4 linked regions of the Stegostoma tigrinum genome follow. The protein of the gene in region 3 interacts with the protein of the main gene of each other region in a pairwise test. Links are inferred from orthologs where the notes say so. Each region holds a gene or a part of one and is shown on either strand. Other genes may lie near its edges.

What was found.
Region 1: the proteins of tk1 (region 3) and gdf9 interact in a two-hybrid assay, tested with the Homo sapiens proteins (2 studies listed by BioGRID and IntAct). The link is inferred for Stegostoma tigrinum from reciprocal best matches to the Homo sapiens genes TK1 and GDF9.
Region 2: the proteins of tk1 (region 3) and unc119a interact in a two-hybrid assay, tested with the Homo sapiens proteins (2 studies listed by BioGRID and IntAct). The link is inferred for Stegostoma tigrinum from reciprocal best matches to the Homo sapiens genes TK1 and UNC119.
Region 4: the proteins of tk1 (region 3) and transducin-like enhancer protein 1 interact in a two-hybrid assay, tested with the Homo sapiens proteins (2 studies listed by BioGRID and IntAct). The link is inferred for Stegostoma tigrinum from reciprocal best matches to the Homo sapiens genes TK1 and TLE1.

What each region holds. Positions count from the first base shown.
Region 1 is NC_081366.1:23,291,561-23,299,092, reverse strand, and holds gdf9 (growth/differentiation factor 9), read left to right. Parts: upstream 1-4,524; 5' UTR 4,525-4,570; coding exon 4,571-4,904; intron 4,905-5,431; coding exon 5,432-6,309; 3' UTR 6,310-7,145; downstream 7,146-7,532. UniProt on the Homo sapiens protein: Required for ovarian folliculogenesis. Promotes primordial follicle development. Stimulates granulosa cell proliferation. Promotes cell transition from G0/G1 to S and G2/M phases, through an increase of CCND1 and CCNE1 expression, and RB1 phosphorylation.
Region 2 is NC_081380.1:47,276,152-47,283,341, forward strand, and holds the start of unc119a (protein unc-119 homolog A), read left to right. Parts: upstream 1-4,182; 5' UTR 4,183-4,206; coding exon 4,207-4,342; intron 4,343-4,374; exon of another isoform or gene 4,375-4,389; coding exon of another isoform or gene 4,390-4,417; intron 4,418-4,610; coding exon 4,611-4,853; intron 4,854-7,190. UniProt on the Homo sapiens protein: Involved in synaptic functions in photoreceptor cells, the signal transduction in immune cells as a Src family kinase activator, endosome recycling, the uptake of bacteria and endocytosis, protein trafficking in sensory neurons and as lipid-binding chaperone with specificity for a diverse subset of myristoylated proteins.
Region 3 is NC_081375.1:15,188,042-15,195,808, forward strand, and holds the start of tk1 (thymidine kinase, cytosolic), read right to left. Parts: upstream 3,017-7,767; 5' UTR 2,807-3,016; coding exon 2,741-2,806; intron 2,412-2,740; coding exon 2,380-2,411; intron 1-2,379. UniProt on the Homo sapiens protein: Cell-cycle-regulated enzyme of importance in nucleotide metabolism. Catalyzes the first enzymatic step in the salvage pathway converting thymidine into thymidine monophosphate.
Region 4 is NC_081356.1:61,834,567-61,841,994, forward strand, and holds the start of transducin-like enhancer protein 1, read left to right. Parts: upstream 1-4,427; 5' UTR 4,428-4,534; intron 4,535-4,563; exon of another isoform or gene 4,564-4,936; 5' UTR 4,937-5,021; coding exon 5,022-5,045; intron 5,046-5,517; coding exon 5,518-5,618; intron 5,619-6,232; coding exon 6,233-6,296; intron 6,297-6,453; coding exon 6,454-6,498; intron 6,499-7,428. UniProt on the Homo sapiens protein: Transcriptional corepressor that binds to a number of transcription factors. Inhibits NF-kappa-B-regulated gene expression. Inhibits the transcriptional activation mediated by FOXA2, and by CTNNB1 and TCF family members in Wnt signaling.

The sequences.
Region 1 (7,532 bases), on a different chromosome or scaffold from region 3:
TGTCATGATAAAATTATTGATTCATAAAATCATGTATTCATTTATCACAACCACCAGATGCTTTACAGTCAATAAGTACAATTACTGTTGCAATGCAAGCAACACAGAAGACAATTTATGCACAAAGTTCCCATGAACAGAATGGTGATTGCAGCTGGATAAAGTTTTAATTTTATAGATCGACAGCTAGGCGATAAATAACATTCTGGACACTGGGAAATAATGCATCCAACCCCCAAAACAAAACCTTCTTTTCAGCCGATGCCATAGGATCTTTTACATTCCCTTTGGAGTATATGGGCCTCAATTTAGTATACAAATTAAGAGCATGGCTAGACCATTCAGGCTACTTACTTCACCATTTTCCAAAAAATCATAGTTAATGTGTTTATGGCTTAAAAACTACTTTCCATCTACTCCCAGGAGCAGGAAAGCTGACATTTTGGAAGGGTGTAGGCCTGAAACGTCAGCTTTCCTGCTCCTCTGATGTTGCTTGGCCTGCTGTGTTCATCTCGCCCCACACTTTGTTCTCTCGGATTCTCCAGCATCTGCAGTTCCTACTATCTCTTCCATCTACTCCCAACAACTTTTGAATCTCATTGAAAAGATTACCTCAGGCAATGCAGCACTCCTTGATTATTGGATTAGGGTGTCAGTCTTGATTTCCATGTTCAACAATTCTTGATTAGGACTAATTCAGAATATGCAACAAATGTAAGTAATTAAAATAAAACAAAAGTAAAATGAGCACTAGAAAGTACAAGAGATAATGGGAACTGCAGATGCTGGAGAATCCAAGATAACAAAGTGTGGAGCTGCATGAACACAGCAGGCAAAGCAGCATCAGAGGAGCACAAAAGCTAACGTTTCGGGCCTAGACCCTTCATCAGAATGTACAATGTGTGAGCTCTTAAAACAGAGACAAATGTGTAAGTGTTTGGAAATAGAGGGACACAAAAAGGTCATTCAGTCTCTTAACCTTTTCTGCAGTCCAGCATCTTAACCCAATTTACCCACTTTATCCCCAAATACCCTTGTTAAACAAAACCTTTCAAACCAATCTTAAAAATCTCAATTGAGTTAGCTTCATGAGCTCTTTGAGGTAGAGTTTCTCACTTCCACTTCTTGTTTTAAAAAAAAGTGCTTAATTATTTCACCTCCTAAAAAGGGAAATTAAGATTCTGACCCCTTGTTCAGGATTCCCCAAATAGTGTATACTGTTTATCTGTATCTGCTTCCTTTGTGAGCTCAATACTTTCCAAATTCAGTTGATCTCAAATAAAGTTCAAGAAACCTGTTGATCTAAAGGTGCCCCTGTCAGGTGCATCTGCACTATGCCTCTGCAAATATTAAAAACATATTTTCCAAAAAGTATAGTCAAATTAGAATGACAGAACAGTATTCCAGTACAGACCCAACAGATTTACACTTTACTTCTGCATTTTACTACTTGGATACGAATATAGGAAGTATTGTTAGTAAGTTTGCAGATGACACTAAGATTTGGAGGTGTTAAGGACTGCGAAGGTTACCTCAGAGTACGATGGATATTGATCAGATGGCCAATGGCCCGAAGAGTGACAGATGGAGTTTAATTTAGATGAATGGGAGCTGCTGCATTTTAGAAAGGCAAATCAGGGCAGGACGTGTACACTGAATGGTAAGGTCCTGGAGTGTGTTGCTGAACAAAGAGACCTTGGAGGGCTGTGGCAGGTAGACAGGACAATGAAGAAGGCTTTTGTTATTGGCCAGCTCATGGCATATAGGGGTTGGGAGGTCATGTTGCAGCTGCACAAGACATTGGTTCAGCCACTTATGAATTGCTGCATGCAATTCTGGTCTCCCTCCTATAGGAAGGATTATGTGAAACTCAAAAGGGCTTAGAAAAGATTTACAAATATGTTGCCAGGGTTGGAGGGTTTGAGCTTCAGGAAGAGGCTGAATAGGCTGGGGTTATTTTTCCTGGAGTGATGGAGGCAGAGCGGTGATCTTATAGAGGTTTATAAATGATCATGAGTGGCATGGATAGGGTAAATAGACAAAGGTCATTTCCTCAGCGTGGGGCAATTCCAAAACTAGAAGACATACGTTTAAGGTGAGAGGGGAAGAGATTTAAGGACGAAGGAGCACCTTTTTCCACAGAGAAGGTAGTGCACACGTGGAGCGAGCTGCCAGATGAGGTGATGCAGGCTGGTACAATTACAACAGTTTAAAGTGCATCTAGGGGAGAGTAGAAACAAAGAGTTGAGAAGGACATGAGCCAAATCGGTCTAAATTTATTTAGGATATCTGGTCAGAATGGATGAGTTGGACCAAACGGTCCATTTCAATGCTGTATACTGCAGACTAATTTTTTTTTAAAAACCTCCCAGTAGCTTTTTAAAATTGAAAATAATAATGCACAATGAGAGCAACTAAAAAAGATGTTACTTCTGCATCTGAAAGTAGACTAGGTTACAATCTGCTAGCATCTAAAAATAGAACAAAGCATCATATAAATTTCTGAGAACAGATATGCAATATGCAACCATCTAAAAAACTGAAAGGTGAAACAGAAGGTCGGTCAGGAATGGGTTTCTCCACCCGACACTCTCTTATTTTCAAAGAGCATAATACTCCATCATATTTCTACCATTCATCATTCTGAAGATAATTTACATTTGACTTTAAAAAATGAATCATTTCTTGTTCCATATAGAGTTACCAGACCAGAGTGGTTTCCAATTTAATTCTTTTCTAGATCTCCAGAATGCACAAAATTTTGCTTTTGAGATGCTAGAGCATCCAACAATTCCTCAGGTCATTATCCCAAGTTAATCTATCTACAGCTTTTTCAAAGCTGTTCCTTCCATCACAAGAAGTCAAAAGTGGGACATTGCCCAGTGATTCCATTCACAGCTTCTAAAGAAGTGAAACAACCTACACCCACATACAGCATAGCTTCGACCACTTTCAATCATTTCCCTCAACATTACAAATCATGGATTTTTCCTAACATGAACACCAAAAAAGGCCCCATTTACCAGAAGCCCAAACTGAAACTAGCCATATAAGCAGTGATTGGCAGTGAAGGAAGGAGGCTGGGTATTCTGCAGATGACAGATCTAACATACTAAACCACATCTACCATTCACAAGCCACAGGTCAAGAATAAGATGACATACTCCTCACTTGCCTGAATGAGGACAGTGGCAAAACTCAACATCCAGGATAAGGCAGGATGCTAGAAGAGTATCCTATCTAGCACCTTCAAAGTTCACTCATTCCACCATCATTGCAATGGTGCAAACAGTGTATGCCAACAACCAAGGTGTACTACAGCCACTTTCCAAGAAGTCTTCAACAAGATGTTTCAAGCTTTAGCAAATGGAAGGTGAAGGACAGCAGACACAAAGGGGCACCACTACTCACAAGTTGCCCTCAATCATCCCAGTTTGAAAACATTGCCCTTCATCTTAAGTCACCAGATCAAAATCCTCCTCAGTCTCACAACAACTCTGTAGGAGTATCTTCATTAGTGTGACAGAAGGCAGCTCACCACCTTCTCAACAGTAAATATTAGGCATGTAAATTATATAGACATTCCTAAATAACAAGACACAGGTATAACGTGACCATTTAAAACCACAGCATACACTTTGAACATCTAAAACAAATGCAAAAAGTGTTTTCGCATATTCAAGTGTTTATAAAACCTGACCACCTACTTTTCCTCAACTCTGTCTCATGTTTAATGCCGTACGGAGACAGGAAAAACCCAATACATTTGCTGGGAATCGTGAATAAAACCGGAAAATAATGCACTTAACAGCCCTGGCACATCTATGAAGAGAGGATTAAAATTTCAAGCGATTTGTTCTGAGCACTCCAATACCACGCATTTGTAACTAAAACGATAATCAAATCGATTTACTGATCCAAATCTGTTACTGCTAAGGAAACCCCTTTAGGCAACTCGTGGGACATATTAGCAGCTACACAGGTTGCAAAAGGTAGGAAAAATTAACAGCAGACTGGGAATTAGAATCACGGACGTGAAATGAAACTTGTGGGAGATCGGAATTAACGTTAATAGTGAAGGCGGCTAATGCAAGACTATCACCTACACCCACAACTAAACAATAATGGCAAAGAAAGGAGTCACAAAACAAGTGGGGGAAGGGGGGGTATATAAGGAGCAGCGAAGTCATAATAAATAATTGAAAAGTCTTAAAAATGAAACTTTGAAGTGGCAGCTTTATCACGAGTTACTTCACTTTTTCTGATTAATTCATAATCTGGTAATGCAAGTCTTGTTCCAGATTGACAAACCGTGTTGATCTTTAATTCACATTCATCACAATCTCAGTATTCTTGCGTGTCATATAAGGGTCGTCACTTTACCGATTATTAAATTATGTTTCTTAATAGCCTTAATAAGATTATTGACTCACACTCCCTCTCCGCACTACACCCCCCCCCCTTCCGATTACAGCCTCTTTATAAGGGTCAGAGACCATCTGTTTCTAATTCTATTGAGCTGAGTAACTTTTTTGAGTGGGTTAGTGGCGGCTTAATCTTCGTTTTGAGAATGATGCGCCGTGTAAAAGGCGCTATAATGCATCTTCATTACAGTGTTTGGTTAGCGTTGTTAAGTAGCTGTATCTCTCTCACCACATCCGTCAGCTCTGCCGGTCCAGAGGTAACCTCAAATCCCCAGGATTATATCCCGGTTCCTCTTCTAAAAGTGTTAACGGAAAAGCCCGGCTGGGACTATCAGATTCCTACAAAACCCGATTTAAAATACATGAAAAGACTATATACTAAGTGCGCTACGCAAGATGGAATACCGAAAAGACCTGCAGCTCAGCAATATAATACTGTGAGGTTGCTGAAACCCCGGGTCGAATTCCGTGACGCGGAAGGTAACATCGAATTTAGAATGTAGATACTTGCTCTTCAAACATCATTATTTATTTCATACATAATCTCTACATTGCTTTTTCTGTGAAGAGCGGAGGGAAATACATTTTTAAACTCCATTGATTACAAGATTCTGGTGTTAAAAAGACTTGAATAGAAGCATGTTCAGCGTCTCTTACGATTGTTGTAGATTGAAAAGGACCAAATTTATGAACACGTTACAACTGCGCCCTCTGATTTTTGGGGGTGGGTGGGTTGGTAGGTAATTTAATTTCAATCCTATCAATAACAAATTGCTTGCATCTTTAACTCAATTCACCTTGTTTTTAAAATTATTTTAGGCTTTAGCTTTGGCGGGGGTGGTTACAGTCGTTATTGTTAATGTCTATTACAACTGCGAGGTTATTTGCATTTTAAAAGCAATTCAACTTGCTTTTAAAACAATTTTGGGCTTTAGTTTTAAAACCCATTGGTTCCTGTCCCATATTGACATTTGAGTTTCATGTCAATTCCTCCCCTTTCTTTGCAGATGCGTTTGAACAGGATGTATTTTATGGCTTGGATCCTGTGACCTCGCGGGAGCAATTGCTCCGATCAGTGTTCCTGTACCCCATCGATAAATCAGCGTGCTTTCCGACTGTGTGTAACTGCAGCTTCACCGTCCAGGAGGGGGATCATGCTCAGATGTGCTCCAGCTCTCCGCATTCATACACCTTCCGCCTTCGCTTCGAACGCCGCAAGAGGCGCCAGTGGTTGGAGGTGGAACTCTCCTCCTTCCTGCAGCCGTTCATCGGCCCCGACCGGGGGCAGCTACACGCGGTGTTCACCTATAAGTGCACCGAGGCCTGCCGGAGACAGGGAGGTCGCAGCGGGCTCAGACCGAGCCTGCCGGCTCCTTCCCTGCTCCTGTTCCTCAACGACACCGGCGAAGAGTCACATCGGAGTTGGCTGCCGACGGATGCCCAGAGAAGCCTCCTCTCCGGTGGACGGAAGGGGAGGAAGGTGGCCGTGAGATCCATCCGACTCCGCAGAGATCCCCAAGGTGGTGAGCAGGCGCTTCCCGCTGCCTTTCCGCCTTTCCCGTACCCGGATCACGAGTGTCAGCTGCATGACTTCCGACTGTCTTTTAGCCAGCTCCGGTGGGACCGCTGGATCATTGCACCGCATAACTACAACCCTCGCTTCTGCAAGGGCAGCTGTCCCCGGGCACTGAGCCACCGCTACGGCTCCCCTGTGCACACTTTGATCCAGAACATCCTCTACGAAAAAGTGGATTCTTCAGTTCCTCGCCCTTCCTGTGTCCCCGCCAAATATAATCCACTGAGCGTGTTAACCCTGGAAAACGATGGCTCTATAGTTTACAAAGAGTACGAAGACATGATCGCTACGACCTGTACCTGCCGCTAGTGGGTGTTGCGTGCCTTAAGTTGGCGTGCTAGTTGGAATGGAAAATGTTGCTTCAAAAGCCAAGAAAATCGCCATATGTACCATAGTGAACTTTTATTTATATATATTTGTTTTATTTATTTTCCTGCTTAGTGTTCGTTCTAGACTTAAATGCCCAGGGTGGGCTGTGGTCCTCGATTGTTAAACGGCCGTGTGAATGACTTCCAAATACCTCATCTAACTCCCGATTTTTCTTTTGAAACGTTTGTTTTTCCAAGTGTGCTGGTTTGTCCTCGTAACAAGTTTTTAATGTTTAAAGCCGTACGAAGCGGAGTGTTGATGTAGCTGTGATGTGTCTTAAGTGACGTTTTTCTTGGCCATGCAGGCATGGAAAGTTGAGTACACCACGATCACCAATACTACCTTCACCTCTCCCTAAATCCGCCCTTTAAAAAGTAACTTTTTTTATTCAAACGTTTGGTGATGTAGCAGAATTTTATTTGGGTGGGTTACCAGTATTTATTCAGAATAGATACGTTAAATAATTCTAATCTTTCACAAACTGTGCACCACAGCCAGCAATGAAATGAGAAATATTTCCACTCGGCTGAAGTTCCAGTGACTTTCGACGCTCAACTGGAGAAAATTCTTGTTTGGCTGCTAATTAAAATTTATGATGTAAATTTTTAAAAACTTTTTTAAAGAATACATTGAGTGAGAATGAATCTTTTGCACAATTGAAATTTGTGGCACAAGACCCTGGTGGTATCTGGTGTAGTTTGTGTAAAATCTATGAACAATACTGATGCAAGCTCTACATGGAGAGTGAAGATGTAATAAATAACTATTGCAAATAACTTTGAATTGCATTTGAGTGTCTGGTTTTTCTCCTGGAATTACAATGTTTGTGGAAAGTTAACTTAGTAGAAATGGCTTTTTAAAAGACCAGTGGTAATTTTCAAATGCTGCATTGCTTGTATTTTCTAGCACTGCCAATATAGTCCTTTGTCTGTTGCCCACTTTGTGAGCAGTCATGTTTTCTCTAACTTCCCCTTAACCCTTATGAAATGGTTTTGGTGCTCTGTGTAAAATGCCAGAGTTCAAATTGGCACTTGTGTTCACTATATATACTCATCACATCGGGCCTCCAATGTAGAGTTAGAGCTGTTTAACCACATCTAATGGAATTGCCATCCCTATACTGAAAGGCAGAACTGTACAATACTACCCAACTCACATACGTC
Region 2 (7,190 bases), on a different chromosome or scaffold from region 3:
TGACGTGATCATCGTACATTTTAGTGAGAAATAAAAATTCCAAGGGGAAAATGCACCATCTGTGGTTTAGTAGGAAGATTAAAGACGGTATCAAACTGAAAATGGTGCAGATCCAAAGAATTGACATAATATATTTTAAAAAGCACAGATTGATTAAAAGGTTAATAAGGAGAGAAAAATTAGAATGAAGCAGAGTGGAGGGAGGAATGAGCGATCACTCCATCATTACCCAGAAGCCTAATTCACTTCTTTGCTGCTGATCCTTGGGAGTAGGCACCTTGTTCTGATTTTGACTAGGAGCTATGTTACCATGGCCAAAGACATTGGGTGAAAGTGCCATATTGTTATGAGTTGATGACAAATATCCTGGGTTCAATGTATAAGAACCAAATGCCACAGTATTGAGAGGGATACAAAAGTAGCCTCAGTTTCTGATCGGAGAAGGGGGTGTTTAGCTGAGCAATAACATATGGCAATCAGGTGAGAATTGATTTAGTTTAGGAATGATTATGGGTAAGGACACTTTGAACCGTGCCGTAGAATTTTTAATATCCACACAGGGCAGCAGTGTACCAGTTTGTCCAAACTGCATCTTACCTGACAACGCAGCACCTTCTCAGAACTGCATGAGTGCCAGACTACATTTAACACCAATAACATGATATAGCATCTTCTTATTCAGTCAATATAACCTGGACAACCAGCAGCTGAGTGAAACTGAGATCCCACAACCTGGATAATGTTTTAACACAAATGTTTCTATGAAAGCAGCTCTTCAGGATTGAGATGGATACATATTTTTTGATAGCAAAGCATATGAATAGATATTTGAACAAAGATAGATCATTTCTGATCATCAGTGATTGATAGAACAGGCTTGAGGGGCTGAATAACCTACTCCTAATTCTAACAACCAGGCTGTTAAACCAGATATTACCTTTTATATCTTAGACTTTTTCTAGTGCTTATTACCCAGATAAGCAAGACATGCTACATAACTACTCTCCGACCTGGCCTACACTGAAACATACAAATCTGACGTGAGTTATTCTGGTTGTTGTAATGAGAATAGTGTTGTTTTAAAGCGAGTGACAAATGTGCAAAGGTGGTATGAAGAAAAGCATTTCTACGTTGTAGTTGAGTATGAACTGGAATACGCTGCAGGAAGTAGCTATAGACTACAGAAAGGGTGGGTGGATTCAATCATAGCTTTCCAAAGGGAATTTGCTAAATGCCCAAAAGATGAAAATGTCAGTAGTTGGTATGTTCATCAGCCTGCTGAACTGTTCCATTCATTTATGTCTCGGATCTGTCTGAATTTTGATTGTTATCTTACCGTAATGATGTGGAGCCTGTCCATATCAAGATTGAATAGAGCTGAATAACTTTTTTGAGTTGTAGAAGTCTGTTTATTGTAATTCTTCCCATTCCATTATTATACTTTGGAAGAATGCAGCTCTCTCTGGACATTGCTTTTCAGGTGTCAGAACTGGTCTCTTGGATTACTCTGCTACTACAGATGTGCTGTATTTTTGACCTGCAGGATTTGAAAGATGTTTCCTCATTTTCATCAAACCAACTCCTGATGCACTTTAGCTATTTGGTCTGAGAAATGTTTGCTGTTTTCACTGATGATGTATTTAAATTAGTGCGTTTCTCAACACAATCTCCATAGAAGTGTGTGCCAGCATGAGCTTTTGACCAATTTTGTTGCAGCAAGCCGTTTTACTGAATTCAGCCATACTGAAGGATCTCTGATGGCTTTTGGTCAGCTGTACTGAGTTGGAACAATTTGCAAGTTGACTATTGCACTCATAGGTCTGTGATCAGTCTACCATTCTGTACATCCTGGCGATCTCTCTGACACACAGTGATACAGTTGATCATGTGTTTTGACCTTATCAACTTGTCTGAACATTGTGTTGTTAATACAGCGTATGTGCTGAGGACACTTTGCTCAGTATTGATGGGTTGCTGTTACATTTATCGCACTTAAACTTCTCGCAACTATCCCATCAAAATTACAGCACTCCATGAGACAACGCTTGCTGATGAGGATCACTAAAGGAAGATGGACATGTCTATACTTTTCTTCTGGAACAGGAAAGTGGAAATACAGGAAACCCTGTATCTCCCTGAACTCCTTTCCAGTTATTGCTGAATTTCACCACATAGGCATTGGTCTCCCAGGAGAATGAGCTTATTACTAACAGATGTAGACAGGACTGATCCAGATCCTCCAATTTATTGTGTCATGTTCTCAGGGCTGCTGAGATTTGGTGTATAGGTACTGATGATGGTCACTTGATATGTTTACTCCAGCGGGAAGTGCAGCTGCATGGGGTGCTTGTTGATTTTGAAGGAAGTGTGTAAGTGTCTTACATTGGGGATGACCTGATGATGAAACCTTCACCATCTATCCTTTTCTTGCTACTCACTTTCCTGTTCCAGAAGAAAAGTATAGACATGTCCGTCTTCTTTTAGTGATCCTCATCAGCAAGCGTTGTCTCATGGAGTGCTGTAATTTTGATGGGATAGTTGCAAGAAGTTTAAGTGCGATAACCAGGAGTTCTCCGTTCAGGCAGTATTGTGTCATCTGTCTAGTAGTTTGCAAATTCCAAGCTTCAGTGATAAATTGTTTTATTTTCTTTGATTTTGACATTATTCAACTGCTTTCTGGATGATCTGCCAGCTGCAGCAGACTGGCAAAATGTTGACAGGGTCGGCAATATTTCAGGTACATTTTCAAACCCCTTCCTCTCAAAGGGTGGACAGTACTGCCCAGTCACCCTGGATGCTGCCAGACTCTCTCATCCCAGGTATGCAGATTAAGTAACCTACAGTGTGGAATCAGGCCCTTCGGCCATGGTCCAAGAGCTGGATAGTAACAATGACCACTAGTGGTCATTGCCATCGGCCACTACACCATGAACCCGTTACTGCAGGGCTTCTGAAAAGACAACATGTTTGTACCAAAACCTTCGAGGGAATATTTAAAAATAAGCAGAGCTGTGGCACAAAAAGCAGTCCACTCCCTCGGGTACAGAAACCTGGTTTCAATGATACAGAGAACCGTTAAGACTGAAGACTTGCTGCTGTGGGTGACTGCTACATCTTTTGAGCATTTTCATGTTCTTTGTGCTGCACTTTGCTGGGCTGCCGCAATGACTGTTGAATCAGACAAGTGGTCTTTCTTACCTAGGTTTCTGGAACAGCCATTGTCTGTGAGAAACAGGCAACTCAGAAACTCGGTAATAAAATATGAGGCTGGATGAACACAGCAGGCCCAGCAGCCTCCCAGGAGCACAAGCTGACTGGTCCAAATTCATTCACACTGCACCAGTAACATCCGAGGGCATTCCCAGTGTGTTATCTGACAGAATTTGACACAGACGCAGGGGGAGCCAGACTGCCAGTCAGAGAAGCAGGTCTTAAACATCTTCAAGACAGCATAGGGGTTTAGTGAGGGCATGCTAGAGCTTGGGGCCTGGGAAGCTGACAGCACGGCCATCGGTGATGGAGTGATTAAAATTAGAGAGACCGGGATTGGAAGATCCTGGTATGTTCTTACAGGTTAGAGCTGGAGGAAGAAAGAGATGGAAATGAAAAGAGATTTGAGAACACAGATGTGGATTCAGTAGTCCAGGAATGAGATATCAGGTCCGACTGTATCTGTGGAGTGAGGGGCGGTTCACATCCAGTTTGACTCCTCTTCGAGATTAATGCTTCCTGTTCCAAATAAGAGTCACATTGAGATTGTATCAGTGAAAATGGGAATTGCAGATGCTGGAGAATCCAAGATAACACAATGTGCAGCTGGATGTGGTCATCCAGCTGCACACTTTGTCACATTGAGATTGGAAACGTTAACTCGATTTCTGTCCAGACCCTGCCAGTGTTTTTTTTTGTGTTTTCTTTTAAAATTTCAGAGCGTTAGCGACCTTCATCTTAAAATCTGAGGGTGTCTGGACCAGGAGCCAGAGTAGGTCAGCGAGCAGAGGGTGGTGATCAGCACTTGGTGCGACCGAAGTGAGATGCTGATGGCTGAGTTTTGGTTGAGGTGCAGTTTATACATGTAAGGCTGGAGACTGGCCTTTGCCATGTACAGTACGCAGGTGCTTTCTAGCACACACCGGCTAGTGCCCGGTAGTGGGAGCTCTGGTTTAAGAGAGACCGGGGGGCCCGAGATTAAGCTGTCAGAAATGCATGGTCTTACATCCTAATAGTTGCTATCCTCGCAACGCTCCGCCCTTTGTTTATTATATATTCAAAACTGCAGCCCATGCTGATATTTTAAAACATAAATGCAATAGAAACGTGTATCAACGAATTTACTGCTCAGGTATTGCGAACGGATTGTACCATTCCTTCAGAAAGGAGAGGGATTCGATGAGAGAGAACAGGGTAACACTGAGAGGTTTGGATGCTTGAGGGGTAAATCCCATCCCCCTCAGTTATTGATGTTGTGTAATTTTATGAATGGGCTGTTTGCGGGGGAGGAAGGAGTGAGGAAGAGTCTATTTGGAGTGGTGGGTGATTGTGTGTGTCCCTTGCGTGTGGGTGGTGCAGTCCGCACTGGATACATTGTAACGGTTTGATTTCCGCTCCAGGTAAAGAGCGGATCCTGCGGCGGCAGCACCAAGAGCTTCGGCTCCGGGCAGGGAGCCGGAGAGACATGAGCTTTTCTGGCACCAAAGCCCTGAGCAGCAACACCAAGAACCAGGACGCGGTCGGCATGAAGGTGAAGAAGGCGCCGCCGAGTGAAGGGCTTCCGGCCACCACCGAGGAGGAGCTGCTGAAGAAGGAGTGTGTGACCCCCGAGGACGTGCTGGGTCTGCAGAAGATCACCCAGAGTGAGTACAGCCTCTTAAAATGGACAGCTGAAAAAACACTGCCGCGGCAAGACCGAGAGCTGGAGGGAGGCAGGAATTGAGCTGCAAGTGTCCCCAAAGTCGGGGAGCCAGAGCTGGGGAAGAGGGGCTCAGAACCCCCTCAGTCCAGAGCCAGGCGCCCACAGAGGCAGGGGTACAGAGTTTCAGAGCTCAATACTCTCCTTAGCCAGGTACCGGTGTGGTGGAGAGTAGAGGCGGTCCTTCACGAGATTGTGTGTGGAAGGTGAGAGTAGGGATGTAGACACAGAGTATCTGAGGTTCTTCTGGTACCCAAAACCTTCAGAGGCTGAGACCTGATAGACGGTACAGGAGGTGGTGAGAACACACATTTCACAATTTGAAAGGGCAAGGATGGAGCCAATGGGTGGCATAAGCCTATTGGAAAGCCTGGATCCAGGCAAATGAAGCAGAGGCCAATGGGAAAGGTGAGTGTGTCAGGCAGAATTTACCTCCTTTAACTGCTTCTGGGCAATCAACTCAATTACTTGTTCACAGTGAGTGTCCACAGGGGCCAGCAGTATCCCAGCGGCTGAGCTGGGGGAGCTGCTCCCAAAACCAGTCACACTTTAAAACCGAGAGTGAGAGTAAGTCTCTCCCAATAAATGACATTTAACAAAAAGTGTTAGTTCCTACCCCCAACTGCCAGTTGGAACACTCTAAAGGAAGTTCAAACTGTCTGTACTGTGATGTCACCTAACAAGTATTATTTTTCAAATGTTACATTATTTTGTGATGGCTTCACCCGCGATGTAAGTTGCATTTTTCCTTGAAGAAATAGTTCCAGTACCTTGAGTAGATAAAGTTGCAACAAATTTCTTAAAAACGAGGCATCAGGTACCAACCCTGCCTTTGAGGAATGAAGAGGCATTACATACATTGGGAAAGCATGGTCATTGCCTTTCCATCCAATGATTGTATGAAGTTAGATACAAACCATAGGATTTGTGTCCAGTTCATCTTTTGTGCCAGATACATTGATAAAAACATAGAAGATAGGAGCAGGAGGAGGCCATTTGTCCCCTCGACCCTGCTCTGCCATTCTTCACAGTCTTGGCTGATCGTTCACCTCATTAGCCCGACCTGCTTTCTCCCCATAATCTCTGATCCCATTTGCCCAAGTGCTATATCTAGTCGCTTCTTGAATATATTCAGAGTTTTGGCATCAGTGACTTCCTGTGGTAATGAATTCCACAGGCTGTCCACTCTTTGGATGAGGAAATGCCTCCTCATTTCCTTGTACTGTGACCCCTGGTTCTGAACACACCCGCCACCAGGAACATCCTCCCTGCGCATCTACCTTGTCCTGCCCTGTTAGAATTTTGTAAGTCTCTGTGAGATCCCCCCTCATTCAGCTGAAAGCTAGTGAAAATATTCCCAACCTAGTCAATCTCTCCGCATACATCAGACTCGCCAGCCCCGGTATCAGCCTGGCAAACCTTTGCTGCACTCCCTCGAGAGCAAGAGTGTCTTTCGTCAGAAAAGGAGATCAAAACTGCATGGTTAATGATATGGTAATTATTTAGAAAAGTTTGGAAAAGCTGTATGCTTCATCTTTGCTAACACTGGGCCTGACCTTCTGATTTACAGCTTTGTTTTAATCCTTTGATTTTCGAGTTAAAGACTTTTTGATTTCTTTGTATAGATTCATGCATTAATTGTGTTTCTTTTTTCTGTTGTCAGCTGTGATTTGTAACTCAAGAACCCAGCAGAGAGCTCTTTAATCCTGATGTGGGTCTTTTGCCCTAAGCTTAGATACATGGCATGTAGTTGCTCACAAATGGTAAACCAGAGGCTCCCAATAACTAAATTTTAAATGGGAATATTCAGCTCTATTGCTTGGAATTTATTTATCGGAATCCATGTACTCCCACTTAGACTGATATTGTCCTGAACTGTGAGGGATTCTGTATTGGTGTGGTTCTGTAAGGGCTGTCAGTGCTGGATTCAGATTCTGCCCGAATCTCTCAGCTCGCAGCCATTCCAACCAAAATTAGAAAAGCAATGTTAGTTGATCCTGCCTGTTTTCCATCTCCTTGGTCGTTTGGTGGCTTCTGGAAACTGACATTCTCAGTAGTTCCCAAGAGTGCAGAGTCCCATCCCAAAACACTGCAGTTAATTGGAAACAGAGGTCCCAGACAGGAATTGCCATTCTCTATCACACTTTCCATTCAAAGAGCGTTTGTCAATTTTAATCAACCTGTTTGGACATGTTATGGTATATCCCTGGGCAAATGGTTCTTGAATCCAGAACTCCTGGCCGAGAGTAGAGACAGTACTACTGAGCCACAAGACTCTGTG
Region 3 (7,767 bases):
CAAGTTTGGGAACTACAGTCAAATGACAGTCTTAGGTCATTTGTGTAAATTTCCACCTCAGTCAGATGGTGGTGGGTTGAACACATTCTAAGCGGACATCCCAGTAAGATACTGAGAAATTGCTGTACTGTTGGAGGTACTGACTTTCCAATGAGGTGTTAGACTAATTCAGAAAAGATTCCACAGACATTTCCCTGAGCTGAAGCCACTGAGATAAGTGTCTGCAGATGCTCACTTCATTTCTCTACTTTTCTAATAATTCTATGAAAGTAATGCTTGACTTTTTAAATCTAGTTTCTTTCACTATTTTGCAGCTAAGTTTGTTGTACCCTTTATACCCAGAATGGTGCTGTGAATGGCGATAGATATTCCATATCTAATGTCCCATTTTTCTCCAAAGTTCTTGAACAATTTCCAACCCATTTTTCCAGGAATTCAGGGCTCTTAGAAGCCCTCCAAATCAGGTTTCAGCCCCTGCCATTGCATCAAGACAGCTCTTATTGAAATCTCAAAGTGAAGTGCTAAGTGGCTCTGACAAAAGGCAAACTATTCCTTCCCATTCTTCTTGACAGGCCTGTGACATTGGTATCCTACAAAGCATCCTCACTGCTATCCAAGATAATAAAATGTGAGGCTGGATGAACACAGCAGGTCCAGCAGCATCTCAGGAGCACCAAAGCTGACGTTTCGGGCCTAGACCCTTCATCAGAGAAGGGGATGGGGTGAGGGTTCTGGAATAAATAGGGAGAGAGGGGGAGGCGGACCGAAGATGGAGAGTAAAGAAGATAGGTGGAGAGGAGAGTATAGGTGGGGAGGTAGGGAGGGGATAGGTCAGTCCAGGGAAGACGGACAGGTCAAGGAGGTGGGATGAGGTTAGTAGGTAGGAGATGGAGGTGCGGCTTGGGGTGGGAGGAAGAACAGGTTAGGGAGGCAGAGACAGGTTGGACTGGTTTTGGGATGCAGTGGGTGGAGGGGAAGAGCTGGGCTGGTTGTGTGGTGCAGTGGGGGGAGGGGACGAACTGGGCTGGTTTTGGGATGCGGTGGGGGAAGGGGAGATTTTGAAGCTGGTGAAGTCCACATTGATACCATTGGGCTGCAGGGTTCCCAAGCGGAACATGAGTTGCTGTTCCTGCAACCTTCGGGTGGCATCATTGTGGCACTGCAGGAGGCCCATGATGGACATGTCATCTAAAGAATGGGAGGGGGAGTGGAAATGGTTTGCGACTGGGAGGTGCAGTTGTTTATTGCGAACCCTCACCCCTATCCCAGGCCCCAAGATGACTTTCCACATTAAGCAGAGGTTCACCTGCACATCTGCCAATGTGGTATACTGCATCCACTGTACCCGGTGTGGCTTCCTCTACATTGGGGAAACCAAGTGGAGGCTTAGGGACCGCTTTGCAGAACACCTCCGCTCGGTTCGCAATAAACAACTAAGCTAAAGGCAGTGCAAGTCGCCATGGAAGTTTTCTTGAATTGCAACAGCAAAAATCGAAGTTTGGAAGTTATGTCACTGGGAAAATGTGAGGCCCACGGCTCTAAATCACCTGATACCCAGTACTAAATGAGCTGAGAAGTGTTAAGGAAAACCAAAATCTTCACTCCCAGCTGTAAACTCCATTGCCTTGCCACTGACTCGATCCCTCTCCCTGGTTACTGTGAGCAGCTGAAGCAAAAAAAAAATTGCATTCTCGGTGTCACAACTGAATTCAGGTGCAGATTTGCCCCAAGAAACGAAATTCCCTCCCCAAAACCTCTTAAATTCTCTTTTCTCCTTTCAGACACTCCCCAAAACATATTTGACAAAATAATGTTCATGGTCACTTGTTCTGAAACCCTACTGGGGTGTCAGATCTTATTTCAAAATGTTCAGTAAAAGGTCCTTGGGACGATAAGGCTCTATATAAACGCGAGTTACTGTTGTTATTGACTCCTCAGTTAATAACTGGAAAGAACGTCCAAAAAAAAGTGTTGAACGTTTCTCAAACTGGGAGATAACACATCAGGGCAGATGGAACATTGAGAGATTTGTAGCAATCGAAACAGATTTGAAACGTTTCCAAGCAGATATTACAGAATGATACACCATTCGGAGGAGAGGAATCGCGGAGATATATCCCAGTGCTGGATGACCAGCAGAGAGAAATAAAGTGTGGATTAAAATCCAGGACACTTTGGTGTCTTGGCCCTGGTAGAAGCGGGAATGAAACTGTGGAATAAAAGCAGAGGCCGGTTTGCGGAACACAGTTGGCCGGAAACAAAACACTTCGCGCCAAGTAGCAAGGAGGTCACCAACAAATTCACAGCCTCAGCGACCAGGCAGAACCTTTCTATCTGAAAGTCTTATTTGAAAAACAAATGCAACGTTATATCTGTTACCTTTTCCCTGAGAACATCGGTCCGAAGATGATCTGTAAATTGCAAAAAGAAAGGAAACATCCTTAAGATCAATTCTCTGATGATAGTGGCGCCTTTGGCGAGATACAGGAAGTGGGATCAAAAACGAAAAAAAAATCAAAACGATTGCAGAAATACTGTCTTAAAATCAGACCCACACCAAGTTTAACATGGGTCAATTTCTGCATATTTATCACAGATTCATTGAGTGAAATAAAAATATCTCAAACAATCTCTACAATGCTGGGTATCTCTTCTAGGAGATTCTGGTCAAGCTTTGTTTTAAAAACAGTGTCCTCGATTATTCTGAAGAATCAACAGTGTGCATTTTTATCCCCCTTACCTGAATCTGACCCTTCACTTTACGCGGAGATGAAACTGGGATTTCTGGGGTGTAGGAACAGTCCATTGTATCAGAAAGTAAAATATAAACAGTTATACAAACACCAGCTGATATAAATAGAAATAAAGATTGTGGAGCGGAAACAAAACAAAATAGATGCCCAGGAAAAAGAATAAAAAGCGAAATATAACAGAGTGATGAAAGATTCTGAGCGCAGAGAGAAACAGCAGAAAAGGGCAAAGCGTTTTCAAATTTAATACCCCCGCCAAAATTACGTCAAGAGATGAAAGTGACAATTTGTTGTCACGTGGGCCGAGCCAGCCAATAGACCTCTTTCAGTGACACTAGCTGATTTGTGAAACACCAAAAAACTACAGGCACCTATGAGATTGGAAGAAATACATTTTTAAGATAGCAGGATTTCCCAAAGTGAAGGTCATCATATCAGAACAATTGAAACATGTTGTCCTCAAATTAAACACAATAATCTACACAAAGAACAATACAGCACAGGAGCAGGTGCGTGCTGACTCATTTTGCCCTTCTGTACTAAAAGTGTCTTCAGTTACACGAGAGATAATGGGAACTGCAGATGCTGGAGATTCCAAGATAATAAAATGTGAGGCTGGATGAACACAGCAGGCCAAGCAGCATCTCAGGAGCACAAAAGCTGACGTTTCGGGCCTAGACCCTTCATCAGAGAGGGGGATGGGGGGAGGGAACTGGAATAAATAGGGAGAGAGGGGGAGGCGGACCGAAGATGGAGAGTAAAGAAGATAGGTGGAGAGGGTGTAGGTGGGGAGGTAGGGAGGGGATAGGTCAGTCCAGGGAAGACGGACAGGTCAAGGAGGTGGGATGAGGTTAGTAGGTAGCTGGGGGTGCGGCTTGGGGTGGGAGGAAGGGATGGGTGAGAGGAAGAACCGGTTAGGGAGGCAGAGACAGGTTGGACTGGTTTTGGGATGCAGTGGGTGGGGGGGAAGAGCTGGGCTGGTTGTGTGGTGCAGTGGGGGGAGGGGATGAACTGGGCTGGTTTAGGGATGCAGTGGGGGAAGGGGAGATTTTGAAACTGGTGAAGTCCATACTCATATTCCGCCTGGGAACCCTGCAGCCATATGGTATCAATGTGGACTTCACCAGTTTCAAAATCTCCCCTTCCCCCACTGCACCACACAACCAGCCCAGCTCTTCCCCCCCACCCACTGCATCCCAAAACCAGTCCAACCTGTCTCTGCCTCCCTAACCGGTTCTTCCTCTCACCCATCCCTTCCTCCCACCCCAAGCCGCACCCCCAGCTACCTACTAACCTCATCCCACCTCCTTGACCTGTCCGTCTTCCCTGGACTGACCTATCCCCTCCCTACCTCCCCACCTACACCCTCTCCACCTATCTTCTTTACTCTCCATCTTCGGTCCGCCTCCCCCTCTCTCCCTATTTATTCCAGTTCCCTCCCCCCATCCCCCTCTCTGATGAAGGGTCTAGGCCCGAAACGTCAGCTTTTGTGCTCCTGAGATGCTGCTTGGCCTGCTGTGTTCATCCAGCCTCACATTCAGTTACACGATCCACTTGCCTCTATTCCCTTCCTGTTCATGTATTCATCCAGGTGCATCTTGAATGTTGCCATTGTGTCTGCTTCCACCGCCTCTGGCAGTGTGTTCCAGGCACTCATTGTTCTTTGTGTGAAAAAAATTGCCTTGCACATCACTTTTAAACTTTGGCCTCCTCTCTACACCCTAAATGACTGTCCCCTAGTTATTAACCTCTCCACCCTGAGAAAAAGCCTCAAAATTCCCACTCTGTCAATGCCATTCACAATCTTATAAACTTCTATCAGAGATAATGGGAACTGCAGATGCTGGAGATTCCAAGATAATAAAATGTGAGGCTGGATGAACACAGCAGGCCAAGCAGCATCTCAGGAGCACAAAAGCTGACGTTTCGGGCCTAGACCCTTCATCAGAGAGGGGGATGGGGGGAGGGAACTGGAATAAATAGGGAGAGAGGGGGAGGCGGGCCGAAGATGGAGAGTAAAGAAGATAGGTGGAGAAGGTGTGGGTGGGGAGGTAGGGAGGGGATAGGTCAGTCCAGGGAAGACGGACAGGTCAAGGAGGTGGGATGAGGTTAGTAGGTAGCTGGGGGTGCGGCTTGGGGTGGGAGGAAGGGATGGGTGAGAGGAAGAACCGGTTAGGGAGGCAGAGACAGGTTGGACTGGTTTTGGGATGCAGTGGGTGGGGGGGGGAAGAGCTGGGCTGGTTGTGTGGTGCAGTGGGGGGAGGGGATGAACTGGGCTGGTTTAGGGATGCAGTAGGGGAAGGGGAGATTTTGAAACTGGTGAAGTCCACATTGATACCATATGGCTGCAGGGTTCCCAGGCGGAATATGAGTTGCTGTTCCTGCAACCTTCGGGTGGCATCATTGTGGCAGTGCAGGAGGCCCATGATGGACATGTCATCAAGAGAATGGGAGGGGGAGTGGAAATGGTTTGCGACTGGGAGGTGCAGTTGTTTGTTGCGAACTGAGCGGAGGTGTTCTGCAAAGCGGTCCCCAAGCCTCCGCTTGGTTTCCCCAATGTAGAGAAAGCCGCACCGGGTACAGTGGATGCAGTATACCACATTGGCAGATGTGCAGGTGAACCTCTGCTTAATGTGGAATGTCACCTTGGGGCCTGGGATGGGTCCCTAAACCAGCCCAGTTCATCCCCTCCCCCCACTGCACCACACAACCAGCCCAGCTCTTCCCCCCCACCCACTGCATCCCAAAACCAGTCCAACCTGTCTCTGCCTCCCTAACCAGTTCTTCCTCTCACCCATCCCTTCCTCCCACCCCAAGCCGCACCCCCAGCTACCTACTAACCTCATCCCACCTCCTTGACCTGTCCGTCTTCCCTGGACTGACCTATCCCCTCCCTACCTCCCCACCCACACCTTCTCCACCTATCTTCTTTACTCTCCATCTTCGGCCCGCCTCCCCCTCTCTCCCTATTTATTCCAGTTCCCTCCCCCCATCCCCCTCTCTGATGAAGGGTCTAGGCCCGAAACGTCAGCTTTTGTGCTCCTGAGATGCTGCTTGGCCTGCTGTGTTCATCCAGCCTCACATTTTATTATCTTATAAACTTCTATCATGGTTTCTTCCAAATCATTTACGTAGATCACAAACAACAGAGGTCCCATCACTGATCTCTGTGGAATACCATTAGTCACAACTCTTCATTCTGAAAATCAACCTACCCCCCCGTCTCCTATGACTAATCTGGTTCTGTATCCATCTTGCCAGCTCATCTGGATACCACGTGACTTCAACTTTTGAACCATTCTGCCATGAGGGACCTTGTCAAAGGTTTTACTGAACATCATCAACTTACACAACATCAACCATTTCTCCCTTATCATTCACCTTCGTCACCTCCTCATGAAAACTTGATCAAGATAGTGAGGCACGACCTCCCCTCCCACAAAACAATGCTGTCTATTGCTAATAATTCAATTTGCTTCTAAATACATATAGATCTTGTTCCTGAGAATCTTTTTCCAATAATTTCCTTACCACCAACGTGAAGTTGTCTACCTCTAATAAGTCAATTTTCTTCTAAATGCATATAGATGTGGTCCCTGAGAATCTTTTCCAATAATCTCCCTATTACCAACATGAGGCTCGCAGGCCTGTAATTATTAAACAATGGGACAACATTGGCTGCACCATTCATGATGTACATCAGTGCCCTGCTGTATTCACTACTGGCATCAAGTCCTGACACACTCAATAGGTAGTGGGGCTTGATTTCCAGCACAATGCCACAGTGAATCCTGACAAGGTTTGGGGTCTCTTTTGCTGGGATTTTGGCGCAAAGACAAGACAAGATTGAATGTGGAGTTAGTGTAAAGGAGAAGGATATACACCAGGTTTTGCATTTAAAAAGTAAGATGACAGTAGAATCTGCAAAACCTTTCCAGCAAATAGAAGAGGCATCTCAGATGAAGAGATCTAAAAGAGACCATAAAAGCCAAAGTAATTGAATTGGCAAGTATGTTAGATGTGCAATTGCCTGTCTGGGCTAAGCAGGCCAAGATAAGTATGAGCATCACAATTGAGCTGGGTAGAAATACATAGAACATAGACATAGAACATAGAACATTACAGCACAGTACAGGCCCTTCGGTCCTCGATGTTGTGCTGACCTGTCATACCGATCTCAAGCCTATCTAACCTACACTATTCCATGTACGTCCATATGCTTGTCCAATGATGACTTAAATGTACCTAAAGTTGGTGAATCTACTACCGTTGCAGGCAAAGCGTTCCATTCCCTTACTACTCTCTGAGTAAAGAAACTACCTCTGACATCTGTCCTATATCTTTCACCCCTCAATTTAAAACTATGCCCCCTCGTGCTCGCCGTCACCATCCTAGGAAAAAGGCTCTCCCTATCCACCCTATCTAACCCTCTGATTATTTTATGTTTCAATTAAGTCACCTCTCAACCTTCTTCTCTCTAATGAAAACAGCCTCAAGTCCCTCAGCCTTTCCTCGTAAGACCTTCCCTCCATACCAGGCAACATCCTAGTAAATCTCCTCTGCACCCTTTCCAAAGCTTCCACATCCTTCTTATAATGCGGTGACCAGAACTGTACACAATACTCCAACTGCGGCCGCACCAGAGTTTTGTACAGCTTCACCATAACTTCTTGGTTCCAGAACTCGATCCCTCTATTAATAAAAGCTAAAACACTGTATGCCTTCTTAACAGCCCTGTCAACCTGGGGGGCAACTTTCAAGGATCTGTGTACATGGACACCGAGATCGCTCTGCTCATCTACACTACCAAGAATCTTACCATTAGCCCAGTACTTTGCCTTCTGGTTACTTCTACCAAAGTGCATCACCTCACACTTGTCTGCATTAAACTCCATTTGCCACCTCTCAGCCCAGCTCTGCAGCTTATCTATGTCTCTCTGCAACCTACAGCATCCTTCGTCACTATCCAGAACTCCACCGACCTTATTGTCGTCTGCAAATTTACTAACCCATCCTT
Region 4 (7,428 bases), on a different chromosome or scaffold from region 3:
ATATATGGAGATGATCATAAACCAAGCTTGTTTATTTTTAATTCAAGAATCACAATTTAAATGATTTAAAATTCACAATACAGTACAATAGTTTCCTTGTGATTCCCAGGTGAGATTTAATTGTACTATATAACAGATATAAATATGTAGATCTTCACATCTGTGATAATAAAAAGATGCAAGGATCAACAGTCTTTTTGTCAGCTTCTTTCTAACCACTGAAGAGACCTGCTTTAGTAGTGACTAGATTTCACCTTGACTGCTTTCTCTGATTACATAGTAAACATGTAAATTTACTCTGTGTTGCTGTGTCGCATACAATGTCACTGAGGGGTTGAATCAGAAACTTACTTGATTATACAGCTGAAGTGTTTGCATTGGCTGCATGATGGATAAATAAGATAGTTGCAGGGTTATGTAAATAGTATATCCTATTCTATATAATGCTTCCAATTGCATGCTTATCTGATGTGAAGTATTTTCTAAATGGATGCAAATATAAATCAAGGTTTTTGGTTATTGCTTGAAACTATTGATGTCATATTTCCAGATAGATGTGTGCTTTATTCAAATATACCTCCACCTAGAACAGTGAATTATGCAAATGGTTGACACTTTTGCCTTCTCCACTCCATCTATACGTTCTCCCCCAATCATCAGCTCTACTTGAAATTGAAGAGCAAATTTTAATCTTGACACTGCTGTGTAACAAGAGCACTAGAATGCATTGAGGAGCCAGTCTTGGTTATCTCCCCTTTAAATGAAATAATGAGCCTTTGGCTATATCCAGGTATAAGTTACAAGGATGCATTCCACAAACTGCAATTGTATTCTGTTGAGTTTAGAAGGTTTAAGGGAGATTTGATAAAAAGTTTGCACAGTACTAAGGGGAACTTGTAGGATAAATAAAAATGAATTCTTTTCATTGGCTGGGTGTCTAGTTCCAGGGGAATATAAATTAGAACCTGACCTTTAAGAAAAGAAGTTAGGAAACACTTCCACAGGAAAAAGGTTGATAGAAGTTTGGAATTGCAAACTGTAATTAATACTAGATCAATTGTAAGCTTTAAATCCGAGATTAGTAGATATTTGTTTTTCAAGGGATACAGGACAAAGGTGGGTTTATGGAATTAGGCCATAGATCAGTCATGATGATACTTTATGAGTTTAATGGAACTTTAGCTAAAATCAACAAGTTTATAATTATTGAGTTATAGCCCTATAAAACTGTTTTAGTATAGGATTCCTTGTTAGCTGATTCCATTATAACAATATTCTAGCACTGCAATCTTGTAAAAGATCCACACTTCTAGTCAGGAAATCTGTATCATTGGGAAAAAAATTACATAAAATTAGACAGTAGAATTAAGTGAGGTCAATGAACATTGAAGTTTGAAAAGTTGTAAGAAGATAAAACACAGTTAAAAATGTATGTACCAGATTGCAATCAGACCATATTTAGTCTTTAGAATTTGATGCTACGCAAATTTAGCATTTTGGAGACTTGTAAATACCCAGAATTCTTAGCACACACTGAAGGTGGAGATGAGTGTGGGCTCTTGCATTATGGAAAGTGTGCAGCTGCTCCACCTGCCATTTGTGTTGGTGTGAACTTAAGCCTTTGGAGGCTTGGGATTTATTAGCAAACTGCTAGGCAGCTACAGATGCCCAGAGAGATCCCATTGCACCTTGTTTGTTCTTGGAGTTAGAAGTTATCCAGATCTAATGTTGATCTAGATGGAAAGTCAGGCAGGAAGAAGTCCAATGGAGTGCACAGTAAGGGGAGTGGGGGGATAGAAAGGTAGCGAGAAGTTGTAGTGACCAAATACACCAGCAGTGAGAGATTTTTTTCAAGAACCAGAGGGGCATTGTTGATCCTCTTGGACTTATGTAAAAAAAACAAGCTTATCTTAACTGTTTATTGAGCAACCATCAATAATTCATTTGAGAACTGCTAGTTAACCAGGTTTGGTGCATGATTCTCTAAGCAATATATGGAAAATTGTTTATAATTTTAATTTGTATATTTAGCAACCTACATCTGTTCCAGGGGATTGATAGCCCACTCATCCACACATTTGTGTTGAAGTTGCAATGCGCAAGTTTATAGCATTAATGCGCAGGTTAAGGTGAAACTTCTGACAAACTTATATATACCCCTAACCCTTGCAAAAAATTCACCCTCTCTCACTCCAACCTGACAATCATACCAAACCACCAGTCTCCAGCAGCCCACCATCTTCAATGTTTTCAGCTGCTGCCATCTGCCCTTTCTGTGGCAGGCAGTTGAAAATTATCCCAAAAATAGTCAAATTCAAGTGCACTTTAAGGTAAAGCAGGAATTAAGGACAGGGAGTAATGTTGAGTTTCATGAAGTTGAACCATATTTTCATATATTACTTTAAATTTAGTTGTTATCTAGCAGAGTTGTTCTAAAATTTTGCAATTTGAAAAGCAGGGCATGATTTTTTAAATATATAATCTTCCCTTAGCAGTACAAGCTGTCTGTAATTGCAAAGTTGAAATGGTGTGACAGCATGGTAACCATACAGAAATTGTTTTAAAAACACAGTACCATGACAAAAGCATGAAATATTTGAACTCAAGAATTGTTTATAGAATACTCCGATATAATGATGTGAAAATAAGGACTGGATATGTGGTTTAAAAATGGGAACTGATTTACAGCTGCATATAATCGCACACTGCCCTCTAAACCAGATTCATCTGAAATATAAACACAGAAATTGATGGTAAACATCAGTTGTTCTGAGGAAGGGTCACTGGAACCGACACGTTAACTCAGATTTTTCTTCACAGATGCTACCAGACCTACCGAGTAAAATTGCTGGAAGAGCTCATCAGGTCTGACAGTGTCTGTTGAGAAAACTCAGAATTAACTCTTCGGGTTCGGTGATCCTTCTTCGGACCTGCTGAGCTTTTCCAGCAATTTCTGTTTTTGTTTCTGATTCTAGAATCCGTAGATCTTTTGGTTCGCATTTGAAATATTCAGTCCTCATTCCCAGTGTGCAGTGTATTGTTAATTTTTTAATCGTTCCATAGCCTATTACTGTGTAAGATGTCTATGTATGTATATTAAAAGTTAACTTGTTATTAATACGGGGAATTGTCTGCATTTTTACGACACCTTGGTAAAGGGTTCGCGGATGGCATGACGCCTTGACAGGAGCGATACCATGAGTTACTTAGGAGTGGAATAAGAATATTATATTGTACTAAGATTCTTGTCATGAAGCAGTTGAAACAAATGAAGGCGTCTTTTAGGTATCGCGCGTGTGGTCTGGAGTCTTTACATTTACCACAGTTTCAGCTCACAGAGGTCCTGCGTGCAAAGAAGGTATTGTCTGGAGAATATCACCACGAGACTTTCCCCCAACAAAAATCTAGTCCGGACCCCGAGCAAATTGTAGTCTGGGTGGGGGTGGTGTTGGTGGAGGTGAGAGCGGGGGTGGTTGTAATAGATATAATCTGTTTCTCAACACATATAACTATTTCCAATAATTAATTAACGTTCACCGTGAATACTTCTTGTGTCACTTAACAAGCGAGGAGAGCTGTAAACAGAATAAATCTATGTAATCAAGTCTGGAAAAGCCGATATAATACCTGTTAAACATCTGGATACAATTTTCTAGTAAAACGAAATGAAAACACACGTGGGCCGCTTTGATGTGCATTTCAGCACTAACATTGTTGATGTGTTGACGCTTTTACCAAACCTAGGACTTAAAATGAAGTAGATCTTGATAAAAATTGGGGAGCGGGGAGCGATGTGGAGGGGCGGCATAAGTACCTACCAAATAAATTCCAATTTATTTAATTAATGCTTCGTATATAACAAGACCTAAAATTATGATTACATTGGCTTCAAGGAAACCGTTTTGTTCAAAGTTGCTTTCGACAATCATAACAGCCCGACAAAATGCACTGCAACAAAACCGAGATGTGAAGCTTCTCTACATTGTTATAATTAGTTAACATTCCTGCTCTGGTTCTTTTAGTTGTGGGTGGGACAAAGGCTCGTCTGTCTGTGTTTTTTCCCCTGTCAGTGTTTGGAACCCACGTTACTTTGAGTGACAGCTGAGCCCGCCACCGCCCTATTGTCTCTCTCTGACTGACTGACGGACGGCCACTCGTTTGATTCGAACCGTTTCAGTTTAGCCCGCGCGGGTGGTGGGGGCAATGCGAAGGCGGGGTGAAAGAATTAGACCAATCAGAAAGAGACAAACGGACACAATACTGCCCTTAATTGGTCTGAGGGCGAAGCCGTCAGCGTGATTGATGTGCAATAGTATCCAATGGAAAAAGAGTCCAATGGCAGGCCGTCTTGCGATTGCTGGGTTCAGTCTCCGCTCAGCTTGACTGACAGCTGGCCTCCTGCGGTCACCACCTTCCATTGGGCAACACTCCGTGATGACGACATAACCCCACGTGTGACAGAGGTCGCTTTCCGGATCCTGATTGGCGTAGAATGGAACGGAACGTAGCCTCAGACTGCGCGTGTCTAAATTTGGTGAGCGATCTCTCGAGGGGGGGTGGGGGGAAGCGAAGAAACCGCGTGTTAATGTAACCAGTCTGTGTGGGGGAAACTGCTACATTGTTTTCCACTGTAGCAATTATACCCGCTTAAACTTCGCACGGTATACCTTTTATATTTATTCTATTGGATATACTGCAATCGAAAAAAAGAGAAGTCGAGAAGATTTCCTGGGGCGGCTTAGGAATTTGTTCTTGTTACAGAAGTGGCAATTGCTGTTTTCCGAAAGGTTTTGTTGTCCTAAAGATCGACAGGAGTTGAATCGGGACAGCGGAATCTGCCAGCCTCCCTGAGGGCTTTAAAGCCTCTTAAAACACCACCTTTTTGGGGATCCGAACCCAGGATGCGCTTGCAGTAAACACTTTATTTTTCTTTTAGAGGGGATTGTTATTAATGTGCGTTTCTTAAAGAAGATCGAGCGATTGTTTGAGCAACGGAACTGAGCTTCTGGCGGACCCAAGCAATGTTTCCTCAGAGCAGGCATCCTGTAAGTAAAGAGAAAGCAGCTCTCCTGGCCAACCGCTTTGTTACTTCATTGTGTGATCTTTATTCAAGGAAAGGAAAACACCTTCAGCGGACTAATGTATAGTTGCACTACCAGCAACGTGTCGTGTGATGTATTTTGTAAGCGGAAAACTACTTCTAGCCGGTTCCCAAAAATCTGCGTGCACATCAGTTCATTACTATGTTTTGAACCAATGTCATCTCAATAACTGTCCCCCTGAAAGTTGGGCAGGAAGATCACTGATTCTACTGAGCTTACTTGGACCAACAAAAGGTCCGGTGTTTAATTCTGTCAGAGGACCTTGCCCTCTTTCAGTGTCATGTGTTTGTGTTCGTCGCTTTCTTCTGTCGGAAAGTTTCTGATATAAATCTGCCTAGGCTGCGCGTTGATTCGTTCGCGATCTGTTATCTCTGTGTACTTGTAATTCTTGTTTCCTTACCTACTGTTTTCTCAGACGCCGCACCAGGCTGCAGCCCAGCCTTTCAAATTTACCATCCCCGAATCGTTGGACCGTATTAAAGAAGAGTTCCAGTTTTTACAGGCTCAGTATCACAGGTGAAAGAAGTCTCCCATTCTCTGCCGGGGAAAAGTATGTTTATTTGCTGCTGGTTAGTCCAGGCTCCAGTGTTATTTGGTTTGTCTGCGGTAGGTAGCCAGTGGTTACTTTGCCTCACCAGAGAGCGGCGCTCTCGCTGCGGCCAGATTTTGTTTCCTTTCAAAAGATTGCAACAAACCACACATTGAGGAAACCAGGAGCCTGAGTGATCTAAACCCTCTGAACTGTTTTTTTTGACACTCATGAATTACATCGTTGAAAATCGTAAATTACATGAGCTGATTTCGATTGCGTATAATTCGGTTTAAGTCAATACTTTATCCATTTAGAACAATTGAGTTTATTTGCTTTATGTATCTTGATGTTTACAGTTGAATTTTAATATCCGGTCCATTACAAGGGGTCGAGTTGTCCTTTTGATTTATCCAGTACTTCCGCTTTTGCCATTACTGCAGTCTCTTATGTAGGTACTCTATTTAAGATGCTTTCTTGTTGCTTCAAGAAGTTCCTATGTTGACATTCTCGGGGTTGTTAGGGATCGGTAACAAGCACTGGACCTTGTAACGACAGTTACATCTTGTGAAAGATTTTTTTTAAATTTTGTGTTTTATAGTCTAAAATTGGAATGTGAGAAATTGGCAAGTGAAAAGACAGAAATGCAGCGACACTATGTTATGGTGAGTTTAAACAATTATTTTGTAAAATTAGAAGTAGCGTGGTATTAGTTTGTGACGTTATCCAATCTGACCTGGGGAGTAGACTACTGAAAACTCACTCTTCAGTTTCATCAAAAGATCACTATCACTTGGTTTATCATTTTTTTTTCCTTTACAGTATTATGAAATGTCTTATGGATTGAATATTGAGATGCACAAACAGGTAAGCTCATTTTTATAGAAACATTTTTTTTGGGCATGGTAAAGTAGAAGTAGCAAAACATTTCCCATCAACAAATCTAATCTGAAGGAAGAAAATAACTTAACCATTTTGGATCAGGTCATTAATTAGAACTTGGAATGTTTACCTTTTCTTTCAGATGTTGGTTAGAGCTGCTACATTTTCTTAATAGCAAGTATTTCATTTCAAATTTCACTTTTTAATGTTGTATGGTGGATTAGGGTTACAGGAAAACAAATGTATTTACAACATAATGTTAAAATCCAAATGTTATTGTATGGCTGGAAAGTTGGCATGATCATCACGGCTTGATAAACAGAATTTATTATTCTAGAAGGTTTTATGTATTGTCCACAGAGCATGGTGTAGTGTAAGTAATGCTCTTATATACACAAAGATCTAATTTAAGGTGAACTGATGCTGCTGCTTGGCTCTGCATGTGGAGTTTATGGGGATGGGAGAAATAAAAGCTCTTTGAGGTTTAAAGCAACGGTCATAAGTTACTGCATTGTATATTTGTGATAACTGAAGCTGCTGTTGTACATGAGGCGTAGATACTCAATTGATGAACTGAAATGAGGCAAAACTATTTTTGAGAATATTAAAATAACAAACAAAGCACAAGGAAGGTGGACAATGTGCGCAAAGCAAATCTCAAGTGATTGATGTATTAAATGGCGCTTTGACTCTGGTTGTTTGCCAAGAAAGCATTAATTGTGGGATGCAAGCTACCCAAGAGAAGTAGTGACTTTGTGATTTCTAATCCTCAAGATTCGATTGATAGTAAGTCCTTAAGACATTGATTTACTTCTTAAAAGGTCACTATTAAATTATCTCCTCAGCTGATGCATGCTTGCCCAAAAAAATGGGAATGTGTTTCAACTTGGCTTTTGCTTTGATTGATATAATGCT